Saccharomyces cerevisiae S288C: one gene and its partners. Changing the gene in region 2 together with the main gene of any one other region gives a genetic interaction. Each region holds a gene or a part of one and is shown on either strand. Other genes may lie near its edges. The genes, in order: RXT2, URE2, URM1 and GLN3.

Region 1 (3,391 bases), on a different chromosome or scaffold from region 2:
ATTCTTCTGTTTTGGAGTTTGACTCCATAGAGGAAATTCCAAATGAGAGAAAGTCCAATATTAAGGAGCAAATCCATAGCATAACGAACGACGTTTTCTTAGCTGCTGTAAATGTAAATAGATTAAACTTCCAACCGTTACCAAACGCATTTGAAACATATGGCGTAGACTTTTTGATTGATTCGAATTACGAAGTTAAATTACTAGAGATCAACGCTTTCCCAGACTTCAAACAAACTGGGAAAGATTTGAAGAACCTCATTGATGAATTATTTGATGACACTGTCAAATACTGTGTTACCCCCATCTTTAACGAGAATAGAAATAAGACAGATGATGAAACAGACCCGAACTTCGTAAAAGTCATTGATTACACTTCAAACGGTTGGTGAAACAAAAAAAAAAAAAGAACCCATCCTAAAATACTGTTATTATTACTAAATAGTGCTAAATAATACATATGCCTTGATTTTATTTCCGAAATTTTTTGTTTTGTCAATTTAGGCTCTATTAGCTTCTTCATCAGGTTCATTATCGTCTACAACACCGTCTTCCATGGTATTTTCAATTTCTTCCTCAAAATTTGTTGTCTTATTTGTTGTAGCACTGATCAGACCTCTCTTCACAACACGTAGAGCCACCGGGATAGTAATATCATCGTCAGATATACCCAAATATTCCCGACTCCAATTTAAAATCCTACCTCTTATTCTATTGGCTTTTATTACAGACTTTCTGATTTTTTGTAAGTTTCTTATGAATTCTTTATTCCTCTGTAGTGCAATCTGCGACAGCTGTCGGGCAGACTCAATTTCCTCATTTAACTGTTGTTGTTCGGCCGCTGTTAATGTTGATATAGAAGCAGAACCGGAAGAAGATGGCAGCAACGATAACAGCGCATTAGATTGTTCCAACCTTGGCAATGCAAAAAAAGGATCTTCCTCTCCAAATTCTTCCATGCCATTATTGATATGACCAGCTTCAGTAGACAAACTATTCGAGTTAACCTCGTTGATATTGTTTTTGTTGTTAATGTCATCCTCGTCGCTTGCCCCTCTATCCTCTGGAAGGGTCAAATTGTGATTATAAGATGGTAGGTTCAAGTTAGATTCATAAATTGGTTCAGGATGATCTCCTAAAAAAACCTCCAAAAACTGGGAATATCTAACAACTGACATCTGTTCTTTTTCAATCATTAGAATTATTTGCAAGGCTAAATTTTTCAAAATTGGGCTTGAAAATGTCCTTGAGATAGTTTTATGATTTATTATATCCCCTAGGGAAAGAATGGGAGTCAAAATCTCCTTTACATTCACTAGTTTTGATAGGTCGTCATCGTCTTCTTCGCCGTAATACTCATCAGTGATATTTTCGTCTTCCTTCTCACTACCATCGATGTCGTTTTCATCACCGACTAAAACAGGCTCGACGTTGATGTCAGGTGTGAATTTTATTCTTTTGCGTCTACTATCAGTGACAATATTTGTTTGCAGAAGGCGATGCTCCGAACCGTTATAGAACACAGTTTGCTCAATCATTGGCTTAGAATTGTTCAAGTCTCTTCTTGTTACTACTTCGCTTCTCTGCAAAAGTTTGTTACCTCTGTTAGAGGATATGCCAGTGGCCTCAGGATAGATTAGTTTTCCATCAAGGGATCTTTTCAGTACCTGATAGTTACCGCTTTTTTCCTTTATTATCCTTCTAGTAAATGTGCTAATTATATTCGATTCATTAGCTAACACACTCTTGCTTTCCAATTCTGCGTTGTTTTTCATACTGCTCCTAATAGTCATCTCGATCAACAAGAAGCAACAGCTGAGATATTTGTTTCTCAACCTCTTTTTTGCAGGAGATGCTGTCATCAAGCAACGTTTCTTCTATTTGAAAGCGATTGTTTTACCAGAACAAAGTTCGCTACCCGGCTTCGGTCCTCTTGGGTATAGGAGACAATAATGATCTTCGAATAACGCCGTTATAAAGTGAACATTATAATTATCCGCTTAAAGGCTTTTTAGTAATTTTGTAAAACAATTGCTTCTAATTTCAAGACTTCCAAAAGGTTTCTCGAGTAACTAGTGCTTTCCAATATCTACAACAAAATAAAATAATAGAATAATGGGTGTTTGCACTATTTTTAGGTGGCTCTTTGCTGCTTACTTGCTCTCTTCATATAAGTCGCTTCCTGGGGCATATTTTGTTAGGTTTTATTATTATGTTATTCAAAACTTGTTCTTGCCTATGTTTACAGGGTTTGAAACCGAGAATATTAAGAAACTTGAGAAAAATGAATATGGCTGTTTCTCGTACACCAGCCTAGATACCTATGCCTCTCCATTCGAATGTGACTTCTACTTTCATAAGAGCAATAGCACCTATTTTGCGGAATTGGACATTTCAAGAGGTAATCTCATGTGCAAGATTTTTCAAAAATTGATGCTGAATTCCAAGCATTATCCATATATTCCAGTTGCGAACGTTTTCACTAATTTCTTGAAGGAAATCAAGCCTTTTCAAAAGTACTCGGTTTCATCAAGGATTATCTGTTGGGATGAGAAATGGATTTACGTCATGAGTAGATTCACAATTAAAAAGGGCACCGTCTTATGCTCATTATCATTGACCAAATACGTCCTTAAGGACGGTAGAAAGACCATCAAACCAAAGGATGCTCTTGAATACTGTGGTTTATATAATGAGAAGGTCGCCAAAATTTCTGAGGACAATCTAAAGCTTTTAACCGAGCGTTGTGGTTTCCACGAGACAGTACCATTGGAAAACTTGAGCCAAGAGTACTGTTCAGAAATCTAACTTCTATACACATATAGCCGGTATTATAAAATATATAAATCTATCTTCTTTCAAAAGTTTCTCTGTGCAGTCTGCGTTATATTTTATCTTCGGTAGAAAACAAGGTAAATTTCCCTTATTTTTCAACATCATAAAAATGAAAAACAGATATATCTTAAGTAAGATACTTAAGCAGACAAGTTGAATTGGAGAAATACAAAAGCTGTAAGGTTATCAAAAAGGAAGGCATACAGTATAATGGGGGCACAATTATCACTAGTGGTCCAAGCATCACCTTCCATAGCCATTTTTTCATATATCGATGTCTTAGAGGAAGTACACTACGTTTCACAGTTAAACTCATCAAGATTCTTAAAAACATGCAAGGCACTGGACCCTAACGGCGAAATTGTTATCAAAGTGTTTATTAAACCAAAAGACCAATATAGCTTACGACCTTTTCTCCAACGTATAAGGGCTCAATCGTTTAAGTTGGGACAACTACCGCACGTTTTAAACTACAGTAAATTGATCGAGACAAATAGAGCCGGCTACATGATACGGCAGCACTTAAAAAATAATTTATATGACAGATTGAGTTTGA
Region 2 (3,491 bases):
GAGATTTTAAGTGGTAAGCGACTGGGGAAATTTTCCGAGTATCAAGATGATGTATTCGAACAGGATATTAATAGTATTGGCTATTTGAAAGCCTGCGATAACTTTATTAACAAGACGGATAAACTTTTATATCCTTTATTTGGATATTCGCCAACGGATTATGAATATTTGAAACATTTCTATAAGACTTGGTCAGCGTTCAATACCTTGAAAAGTTTTAGCTGGAAAGACGAGTACATGTACTCTAAAAACTATGACAGAAGAACCAAGAGGGAAGTTAATAGAAGAAATGAGAAGGCTAGGCAACAAGCTCGAAATGAATACAACAAAACCGTGAAAAGGTTTGTAGTTTTCATAAAAAAGCTCGATAAAAGAATGAAAGAAGGTGCAAAAATTGCAGAAGAACAGCGTAAACTAAAAGAACAACAGAGGAAAAATGAGTTAAATAACAGAAGAAAGTTTGGGAACGACAACAATGACGAAGAAAAATTTCATTTACAAAGCTGGCAAACGGTAAAAGAAGAAAACTGGGATGAACTGGAAAAGGTATATGATAATTTTGGAGAATTCGAAAATTCTAAGAATGATAAGGAAGGTGAAGTATTGATTTACGAGTGTTTTATCTGCAACAAGACATTTAAGTCGGAAAAGCAATTGAAAAACCACATAAACACTAAACTGCATAAGAAAAATATGGAAGAGATACGGAAAGAAATGGAAGAGGAAAACATAACGCTTGGGTTGGATAATCTCTCCGATCTCGAGAAATTTGATTCAGCAGATGAAAGTGTTAAAGAAAAAGAAGATATTGATCTGCAAGCATTGCAAGCTGAACTCGCTGAAATTGAAAGAAAACTGGCAGAATCGTCTTCTGAAGACGAAAGTGAAGATGACAATCTCAACATAGAAATGGATATAGAGGTAGAAGACGTCAGTTCGGATGAAAATGTACATGTGAATACGAAGAATAAAAAGAAAAGAAAAAAGAAAAAAAAAGCAAAGGTTGACACAGAAACAGAGGAATCTGAATCGTTCGATGATACTAAAGACAAACGGAGTAATGAGTTGGATGATCTTTTGGCATCACTAGGAGACAAGGGCTTACAAACGGATGACGATGAAGATTGGTCTACTAAAGCGAAAAAGAAAAAGGGCAAACAACCTAAAAAGAATTCTAAATCCACAAAAAGCACTCCGTCCTTGTCGACTCTACCGTCCTCTATGTCTCCAACCTCCGCGATCGAGGTGTGCACTACATGCGGAGAATCATTTGATAGTCGAAATAAGCTATTCAACCACGTGAAGATAGCAGGGCATGCGGCAGTGAAAAACGTAGTGAAAAGAAAGAAAGTCAAGACCAAAAGAATATAGTGACACCAAACCATAGAACGCCGAAACAGAAATTATTAGTAGAGCTGTGTAGAGTTTAATTTAACTGTAGTCAATGTGGAAAATGAATACCGACTGTTGTCTGGAATAACAACATTAATCCGGGTGACGCAGCCTGGAATTTTTTTTTCAATTCTCGCCGAATAGGAGGATTGATGAGCTGCCACTATTGAATTTTTGAGGAAGAGTGGCTTCAGCATGTAGTTTTCCTTTCTACTAGGCCAGAAAAGCAACTATACAAAGACGAAAGCTTCCTTACTCGAGGTTGAAAAGAATAGCAAAAATCTTTCCTTTTCAAACAGCTCATTTGGAATTGTTTATAGCACTGAATTGAATCGAAGAGGAATAAAGATCCCCCGTACGAACTTCTTTATTTTTAGTTTTTCATTTTTTGTTATTAGTCATATTGTTTTAAGCTGCAAATTAAGTTGTACACCAAATGATGAATAACAACGGCAACCAAGTGTCGAATCTCTCCAATGCGCTCCGTCAAGTAAACATAGGAAACAGGAACAGTAATACAACCACCGATCAAAGTAATATAAATTTTGAATTTTCAACAGGTGTAAATAATAATAATAATAACAATAGCAGTAGTAATAACAATAATGTTCAAAACAATAACAGCGGCCGCAATGGTAGCCAAAATAATGATAACGAGAATAATATCAAGAATACCTTAGAACAACATCGACAACAACAACAGGCATTTTCGGATATGAGTCACGTGGAGTATTCCAGAATTACAAAATTTTTTCAAGAACAACCACTGGAGGGATATACCCTTTTCTCTCACAGGTCTGCGCCTAATGGATTCAAAGTTGCTATAGTACTAAGTGAACTTGGATTTCATTATAACACAATCTTCCTAGATTTCAATCTTGGCGAACATAGGGCCCCCGAATTTGTGTCTGTGAACCCTAATGCAAGAGTTCCAGCTTTAATCGATCATGGTATGGACAACTTGTCTATTTGGGAATCAGGGGCGATTTTATTACATTTGGTAAATAAATATTACAAAGAGACTGGTAATCCATTACTCTGGTCCGATGATTTAGCTGACCAATCACAAATCAACGCATGGTTGTTCTTCCAAACGTCAGGGCATGCGCCAATGATTGGACAAGCTTTACATTTCAGATACTTCCATTCACAAAAGATAGCAAGTGCTGTAGAAAGATATACGGATGAGGTTAGAAGAGTTTACGGTGTAGTGGAGATGGCCTTGGCTGAACGTAGAGAAGCGCTGGTGATGGAATTAGACACGGAAAATGCGGCTGCATACTCAGCTGGTACAACACCAATGTCACAAAGTCGTTTCTTTGATTATCCCGTATGGCTTGTAGGAGATAAATTAACTATAGCAGATTTGGCCTTTGTCCCATGGAATAATGTCGTGGATAGAATTGGCATTAATATCAAAATTGAATTTCCAGAAGTTTACAAATGGACGAAGCATATGATGAGAAGACCCGCGGTCATCAAGGCATTGCGTGGTGAATGAAGGCTGCTTTAAAAACAAGAAAGAAAGAAGAAGGAGGAAAAGAAGGTTATAAGGGTATGTATATAGGCAGACAAAAAGGAAAATTAAGTGCAAATATAAACAAAAATGTCATAGAAGTATATAATAGTTTTGAAATTTCTGTTGCTTCTATTTATTCTTTGTTACCCCAACCACAGAATTCCAAAATTTTGTTTTATGTAATAATTGAAATACTATAAATTTCTCAACTATATTCGGGGTGTTGTCACTGTATATCTGGCGCTTTCAATAAAGCTGGTACAATTGCGTATTTTTCTCGGCATTTGCCACGATGGGCTTAAGAAAGATCACAATAGAAAATTTCAAATATTTAATATTTGCGAAGAAGGGATTTGTTCAGTTATGACGATTAGATACATATGTAACTTACATGCAAACGGTTTTTGTTCATGGAAATACGTTCTAGTGAATGTATAAATCGATTGATGTCGAGATATGAAAAGTTTACAAACACTATGTGAAATCTCATTGATGAGAAATCATTCAAACATACAATCTGTGAGTAATGTCCCCTATCACTTATTAAAGAGGATACTGCAGAAAGTAAAAATACCACAAC
Region 3 (2,592 bases), on a different chromosome or scaffold from region 2:
CAAATTGGTGGATGTTAAGGACCTAGGTTATTATGCAAAAAACAATCAAGGTGAATTGCTTCTAAAGGGTGCGCCGGTCTGTTCTGAATATTATAAGAATCCAATAGAAACGGCGGTCTCTTTCACTTACGATGGATGGTTTCGTACTGGTGATATTGTTGAATGGACTCCCAAGGGACAACTTAAAATTATTGATAGAAGAAAGAATTTGGTTAAAACCCTAAATGGTGAATATATTGCATTAGAAAAGTTAGAATCTGTTTACAGGTCAAACTCCTATGTGAAAAATATCTGTGTTTATGCCGATGAAAGTAGGGTTAAACCGGTGGGTATTGTGGTACCCAACCCAGGACCCCTATCTAAATTTGCTGTCAAATTGCGTATTATGAAAAAGGGTGAAGACATCGAAAACTATATCCATGACAAAGCATTACGAAATGCTGTTTTCAAAGAGATGATCGCAACAGCCAAATCTCAAGGTTTGGTTGGTATTGAACTATTATGTGGTATTGTTTTCTTTGATGAAGAATGGACACCTGAAAATGGCTTTGTCACATCTGCTCAAAAATTAAAGAGAAGAGAAATCTTAGCCGCTGTTAAATCAGAAGTCGAAAGGGTTTACAAAGAAAATTCTTAGAGAGAAGCTTATTACCTTCCCCTTCCATCTATGCACGGTGTCTCGTACTTCCATAGAGCACCGATTAGTGAATACTAAAACTATGTGCGTGATAAATGGTTCTCTTTTACAGATGCGGTAAATCAATTATTGATATACTACATAACATACAAACATGTTTCATTTCCGTAATACAAATTACAATTGTATAATTAAAAAATATAAAAAACTTCGTGATATGAAATCACATTTTGCTATTGAGTTTGCCACATGAGCGGTATACGAACTATTCGTTATTTTATGACTTTAAAAGCCATACCGAAAGTAGGCTTGAGAAGTATGACTACTGTAGGAGTGACCACTACTGTTAAATGCAGATAGCCGTCTTATGCTCTTCCCTTGTTCTTCTGAATTGGGAATGCATAGCTTGAAACATCAATCTTAATAAGGTCTTGTTTGTTTCTGCTTGGCTTTCATAGTAGCAAATAGTTTCGACCTTAATGTAAGAAATAAAAGCAATCGTTAATTTGAGTAAAGATAACCACTCTTCCTCTTCTACTATCAATATAATAAGAATAACGCTTATGGTTTATTTTAGCTTTTTTGAAAGCTAAACATTAAAAAAGAATAAAAATGCACGGCATACCTACATATTTTAAAAACATATATTTTATGATTGACTTTAGCAAAAGTTGGCGCTGGGTACTTTGAGACTCTTTCCTACAAAACGTTACCAACACTTGCTAGTCTAATCTAATCTACTTAATCAAGGTTTTAGTGGCGTACCATGTGACGGCCATCAAATGCCATCAGTTCTACAAGTTCACATATATTTATATATAACTATTCTCCTAACTTGTATAATATTATACCGAGACAGAGGATAGATTCAATTGATTTCACATACCGGATTATGTTCCTTCCCAAGTTCTCAATCTTATTTAGACTTTTTTTTTTAATTACATTGTCGCCCACTTCGGCAGAAAAAATATAACGACAAAGTAATGGCATCGCATCGACCTAATGAAATACTACTGGCAGACGGTATGGAGAGCTCAAAAATTCCCAAAGCAGAAAACAATACTGATTTCTGATACTAAAACGAGATAGGTTAATAGCAAAATCGGGATGGTAAACGTGAAAGTGGAGTTTCTAGGTGGACTTGATGCTATTTTTGGAAAACAAAGAGTACATAAAATTAAGATGGACAAAGAAGATCCTGTCACAGTGGGCGATTTGATTGACCACATTGTATCTACTATGATCAATAACCCTAATGACGTTAGTATCTTCATCGAAGATGATTCTATAAGACCCGGTATCATCACATTAATCAACGACACCGATTGGGAGCTCGAAGGCGAAAAAGACTACATATTGGAAGACGGTGACATCATCTCTTTTACTTCAACATTACATGGTGGTTAAAAATAGCAGCAAATAATTTTTAAGAAGCAGCTACATATATATATATAAAGTGCTGTACAGCTTGAATGAATCACAAGTTAGATAACGTAGGTAATATGCAGATAGTATAAAAAGTAATAGTAATAACTGGATTGGTTTTTTTTAGTACATGACGAAGATTATAGCTCTTGTATCCTACAACCCAAAAGACCTCTACCATTCCAGTTTCTCGAAGGTGTTAGCGATGTCTTTAGGATTTGCCCTTCTCTCAAGAGAAGGACGGGAAGTGGCCTGTCTTCATTTTTCATTACAACCATCTGAATGTTTTGAAGTTTAGAGTGGTTTGCCGCATGCACATTACCAATAGAAATCAGCTTATCATCAACCTTTATGTCTGCTTTATCTGAAGGGCTACCGGGTACTACCTCACTGATAAATGCAAAAGGGATGGTATACTGAATAGCTTGATCGTCGTTATTCCTTCTTGCATCTTGGTTTGACTTAACGTTCATATTATCAAAGTGCTGGTTTAGTAAGACGTGTGATCTTTGCAAAAGGTGATTTAAATC
Region 4 (4,523 bases), on a different chromosome or scaffold from region 2:
ACTCTTCGTCGCTATTCAAACTGTCGTTCTCAGGATCACTAATAAAGTTGGGATGCACCTTCTCATCGTCATCGTCATCGCGAAAGTAACTTCCCACACTAGTCGGTATCAAAGGAGAATCAAACCCTGAAATTTGTGAATCTGGCACAGTTTCAAACTCTTCATTCGGTGATGAGTTCACGCTTCCCATTTGTGACACTGCCCTTTTGTGCGTCTAACAAAATTTTATCACTTTATTGCTATTTACTTGAAAAATTATATATGAATATATTTCATAAAACGATGCTGACATAATATGTAACATAAAAAAAGGAATAACCTAAAACAAATACAAAGAAGACCCCATATAAATGAATATAAATGTATATTTTGCTTGAGCAAATGAAGAATGTACTACTTCTCAAGAGTAGCTGCTAGAACTTTTTGCTGTTGTATCTTTTTCTGTTTAGCCACAGCGTACAGCAGGCCAGACAGAAATCCTAGAAAGATAGAAAAGAAGGACAAAAAGTTTTTTGGAGCGTCAAAGAACACCAATCCCGCCAACGCTATGGGCAATTTGTTCAAAGCACCAACCATAGAATACGTTGTAGAGGAAGTTACACGAACACACCAGCCGGAACAGTACGATATCCCCACGGACATGAGCCCACTGATGACCATTGCTGCCAGTGAGTCGGCGGACAAGTTCACAGACAAATTCTTTGTGGACCAATCTTCCATAATGAAGGAAAAGACTAGCAGCAAAGGCAATGCCAGAACGTTGTTATAAAACATAGTATCATAGTCTTTAAAGTTAGTCAGCCGAATTCTCTTCCGCATAATCAAAACGAACAATGCAGACGAAATACAATTGGTGAACATCCAGAGGTACCCCGGATTCAACACAAAGATGGTTGACTCAACAAGTTCCTGATCGAGATCCTCCAAAGATGATGCTTTGATTGCAATGGCCTGCTGATCGCCCCAGGTGGCCACTACAGATGAAAGGACCATCATAATAAATGACGTCAACTCCATAGAAGTGACTTTTCCGCCAAAGAAGAGGACCTCGCCATAAGCAATGAGAATGATCGTCAGATTCTTGAAAATTGTGTAGATGGGCACGGCAAGGTATTGTAAGCTCTTTGACGACGTATAAATCATCAATACGAGCAGCAAAGAAATTGGAAACCAGTTTTTTACATCTGTCCTGTTCAAAGATCAAAAATTAGCAACGCCTACAATTCGTAGGATACATAGCGTCACAGTGCACACCAGTGATTGTACAAACAACATCACAAAGTTCATGTTAAAGTTGTCCAGGTTAACCACGAATTTGTTCGTTACTGTCATCAAAATCGAGGACGCGCAGTAAGATAAGATTGAAGCCGGCCCAGAGTTGGCCACTGATTCCGTCCATTCATGCTTATGCTTGCTCATAATTACCACACCTTCTTGATCTCTTTACAGCTTTTCAACCTTCCATTCTTGTACTCTATCTCTACCTGGCCCTTTAAACATTCTTAATATGATATATTCACATTTTTTGCTCTATTACCCGGCGGACAGGTTCCCGAAAGAAAGTGACATGGCAATGCTGAGAGAGTGGAAAGAGTCATCTTGCAAGACAGAGAAAGATGTTCAAGAGTGGTAAGCTAATGTCAGCGCAGTAGCCCATCCCACAATAACAGAGTGTGTAAGAAAGAGAGACGAGAGAGAGCACAGGGCCCCCTTTTCCCCCACCAACAAACAAATGCAAGACGACCCCGAAAATTCGAAGCTGTACGACCTGCTGAATAGTCATCTGGACGTGCATGGTCGAAGTAATGAAGAGCCGAGACAAACTGGTGACAGTAGGAGCCAGAGTAGTGGCAACACCGGTGAAAACGAGGAGGATATAGCATTTGCCAGTGGATTAAACGGCGGCACATTCGACTCAATGCTGGAGGCACTGCCCGATGATTTATATTTTACGGACTTCGTGTCTCCTTTTACAGCAGCTGCCACGACCAGCGTGACTACTAAGACGGTCAAGGACACCACACCAGCTACCAATCATATGGATGATGATATTGCGATGTTTGATTCACTTGCCACAACTCAGCCCATCGACATAGCCGCATCCAACCAACAAAATGGTGAAATTGCACAACTTTGGGACTTTAACGTGGACCAATTCAACATGACGCCCAGCAACTCGAGCGGTTCAGCTACTATTAGTGCTCCTAACAGCTTTACTTCCGACATACCGCAATACAACCACGGTTCCCTCGGCAACAGCGTCTCCAAATCCTCACTGTTCCCGTATAATTCCAGCACGTCCAACAGCAACATCAACCAGCCATCTATCAATAACAACTCAAATACTAATGCGCAGTCCCACCATTCCTTCAACATCTACAAACTACAAAACAACAACTCATCTTCATCCGCTATGAACATTACCAATAATAATAATAGCAACAATAGTAATATCCAGCATCCTTTTCTGAAGAAGAGCGATTCGATAGGATTATCTTCATCCAACACAACAAATTCTGTAAGAAAAAACTCACTTATCAAGCCAATGTCGTCCACGTCCCTGGCCAATTTCAAAAGAGCTGCCTCAGTATCTTCCAGTATATCCAATATGGAACCATCAGGACAAAATAAAAAACCTCTGATACAATGTTTCAATTGTAAAACTTTCAAGACACCGCTTTGGAGGAGAAGCCCAGAGGGGAATACTCTTTGCAATGCCTGCGGTCTTTTCCAGAAATTACATGGTACCATGAGGCCATTATCCTTAAAATCGGACGTTATCAAAAAGAGGATTTCAAAGAAGAGAGCCAAACAAACGGACCCAAACATTGCACAAAATACTCCAAGTGCACCTGCAACTGCCTCAACTTCAGTAACCACTACAAATGCTAAACCCATACGATCGAGGAAAAAATCACTACAACAAAACTCTTTATCTAGAGTGATACCTGAAGAAATCATTAGAGACAACATCGGTAATACTAATAATATCCTTAATGTAAATAGGGGAGGCTATAACTTCAACTCAGTCCCCTCCCCGGTCCTCATGAACAGCCAATCGTATAATAGTAGTAACGCAAATTTTAATGGAGCAAGCAATGCAAATTTGAATTCTAATAACTTAATGCGTCACAATTCGAACACTGTTACTCCTAATTTTAGAAGGTCTTCAAGACGAAGTAGTACTTCATCGAACACCTCAAGTTCCAGTAAATCTTCATCCAGATCTGTTGTTCCGATATTACCAAAACCTTCACCTAATAGCGCTAATTCACAGCAGTTCAACATGAACATGAACCTAATGAACACAACAAATAATGTAAGTGCAGGAAATAGTGTCGCATCCTCACCAAGAATTATATCGTCCGCAAACTTTAACTCAAATAGTCCTCTACAGCAGAATCTATTATCAAATTCTTTCCAACGTCAAGGAATGAATATACCAAGAAGAAAGATGTCGCGCAATGCATCGTACTCCTCATCGTTTATGGCTGCGTCTTTGCAACAACTGCACGAACAGCAACAAGTGGACGTGAATTCCAACACAAACACGAATTCGAATAGACAGAATTGGAATTCAAGCAATAGCGTTTCAACAAATTCAAGATCATCAAATTTTGTCTCTCAAAAGCCAAATTTTGATATTTTTAATACTCCTGTAGATTCACCGAGTGTCTCAAGACCTTCTTCAAGAAAATCACATACCTCATTGTTATCACAACAATTGCAGAACTCGGAGTCGAATTCGTTTATCTCAAATCACAAATTTAACAATAGATTATCAAGTGACTCTACTTCACCTATAAAATATGAAGCAGATGTGAGTGCAGGCGGAAAGATCAGTGAGGATAATTCCACAAAAGGATCTTCTAAAGAAAGTTCAGCAATTGCTGACGAATTGGATTGGTTAAAATTTGGTATATGACCGCGTATTATCATTATCATTATTCTTATTATGTTAATAATTACTGAACGGTTGCATTGATAGATTTTCATTACCTCTGACCACAATCCTGAGCATTGGTATTATTTGTTTTGCTATTTTCAGATCAAATTACTTGTAAAAAAAGAAATGGTAGTATATTGGCATTGAACACTGGCTGTTCTATTTGTATTACTTTTATGTGTAGACATATATTATTAGGAATTTGTAATATCACTCTAATTATTATTTGGTATTCTTTCTCTATCTCCCCTGTTTCTTTTGTCTATCTCTTTCTTTTTTTTTTTTAAACGGCCCTTTTTTAATGGCATTTTCTTTTTCTTATAATGCCCACAGTTGAATAATTTAACTAGCTTTTGACTGACACATAAACAATAATGTATATGGTCCATCCAATGAAATGACAGTTCTATTGCATTTTACCTACTTGTATATTCTGGATACTGCACAAGAAAATGGGTGTCTCACAAATATGGGAATTTTTGAAGCCATATCTGCAAGATTCCAGAATTCCGTTGAGAAAGTTTGTCATAGACTTTAATAAATCGCAAAAAAGAGCTCCAAGAATCGCGATTGACGC

Evidence for each region.
Region 1: mutations in URE2 (region 2) and RXT2 together harm fitness more than expected from each alone (negative genetic interaction), as found in Saccharomyces cerevisiae (4 studies listed by BioGRID, with this or other methods).
Region 3: of URE2 (region 2) and URM1, changing one enhances a phenotype caused by changing the other (phenotypic enhancement), as found in Saccharomyces cerevisiae (5 studies listed by BioGRID, with this or other methods).
Region 4: of URE2 (region 2) and GLN3, a mutation in one rescues a mutant of the other (synthetic rescue), as found in Saccharomyces cerevisiae (5 studies listed by BioGRID, with this or other methods).

Annotation. Positions count from the first base shown.
Region 1 is NC_001134.8:433,906-437,296, forward strand, and holds RXT2 (Rxt2p), read right to left. Parts: upstream 1,794-3,391; coding exon 501-1,793; downstream 1-500. Other genes in the region: PBY1 (putative tubulin tyrosine ligase), read left to right, coding at 1-392; YBR096W (uncharacterized protein), read left to right, coding at 2,116-2,808; ubiquitin-binding serine/threonine protein kinase VPS15, read left to right, coding at 3,046-3,391. UniProt on the Saccharomyces cerevisiae protein: Component of the RPD3C(L) histone deacetylase complex (HDAC) responsible for the deacetylation of lysine residues on the N-terminal part of the core histones (H2A, H2B, H3 and H4).
Region 2 is NC_001146.8:218,539-222,029, reverse strand, and holds URE2 (glutathione peroxidase), read left to right. Parts: upstream 1-1,828; coding exon 1,829-2,893; downstream 2,894-3,491. Other genes in the region: JJJ1 (Jjj1p), read left to right, coding at 1-1,371; ELA1 (elongin A), read left to right, coding at 3,368-3,491. UniProt on the Saccharomyces cerevisiae protein: Plays an important role in nitrogen catabolite repression. Down-regulates the expression of many genes involved in nitrogen utilization by inhibiting the GATA transcriptional activators GLN3 and GAT1.
Region 3 is NC_001141.2:340,792-343,383, forward strand, and holds URM1 (ubiquitin-related modifier URM1), read left to right. Parts: upstream 1-1,744; coding exon 1,745-2,044; downstream 2,045-2,592. Other genes in the region: long-chain fatty acid-CoA ligase FAA3, read left to right, coding at 1-637; NAS2 (Nas2p), read right to left, coding at 2,203-2,592.
Region 4 is NC_001137.3:228,063-232,585, forward strand, and holds GLN3 (nitrogen-responsive transcriptional regulator GLN3), read left to right. Parts: upstream 1-1,732; coding exon 1,733-3,925; downstream 3,926-4,523. Other genes in the region: Smc5-Smc6 complex subunit KRE29, read right to left, coding at 1-190; FMP49 (Fmp49p), read left to right, coding at 389-769; HVG1 (putative GDP-mannose transporter), read right to left, coding at 394-1,143; YER039C-A (uncharacterized protein), read right to left, coding at 1,201-1,419; YEN1 (crossover junction endodeoxyribonuclease), read left to right, coding at 4,399-4,523. UniProt on the Saccharomyces cerevisiae protein: Positive nitrogen regulatory protein. Required for the activation of transcription of a number of genes (including the allantoin pathway genes) in response to the replacement of glutamine by glutamate as source of nitrogen.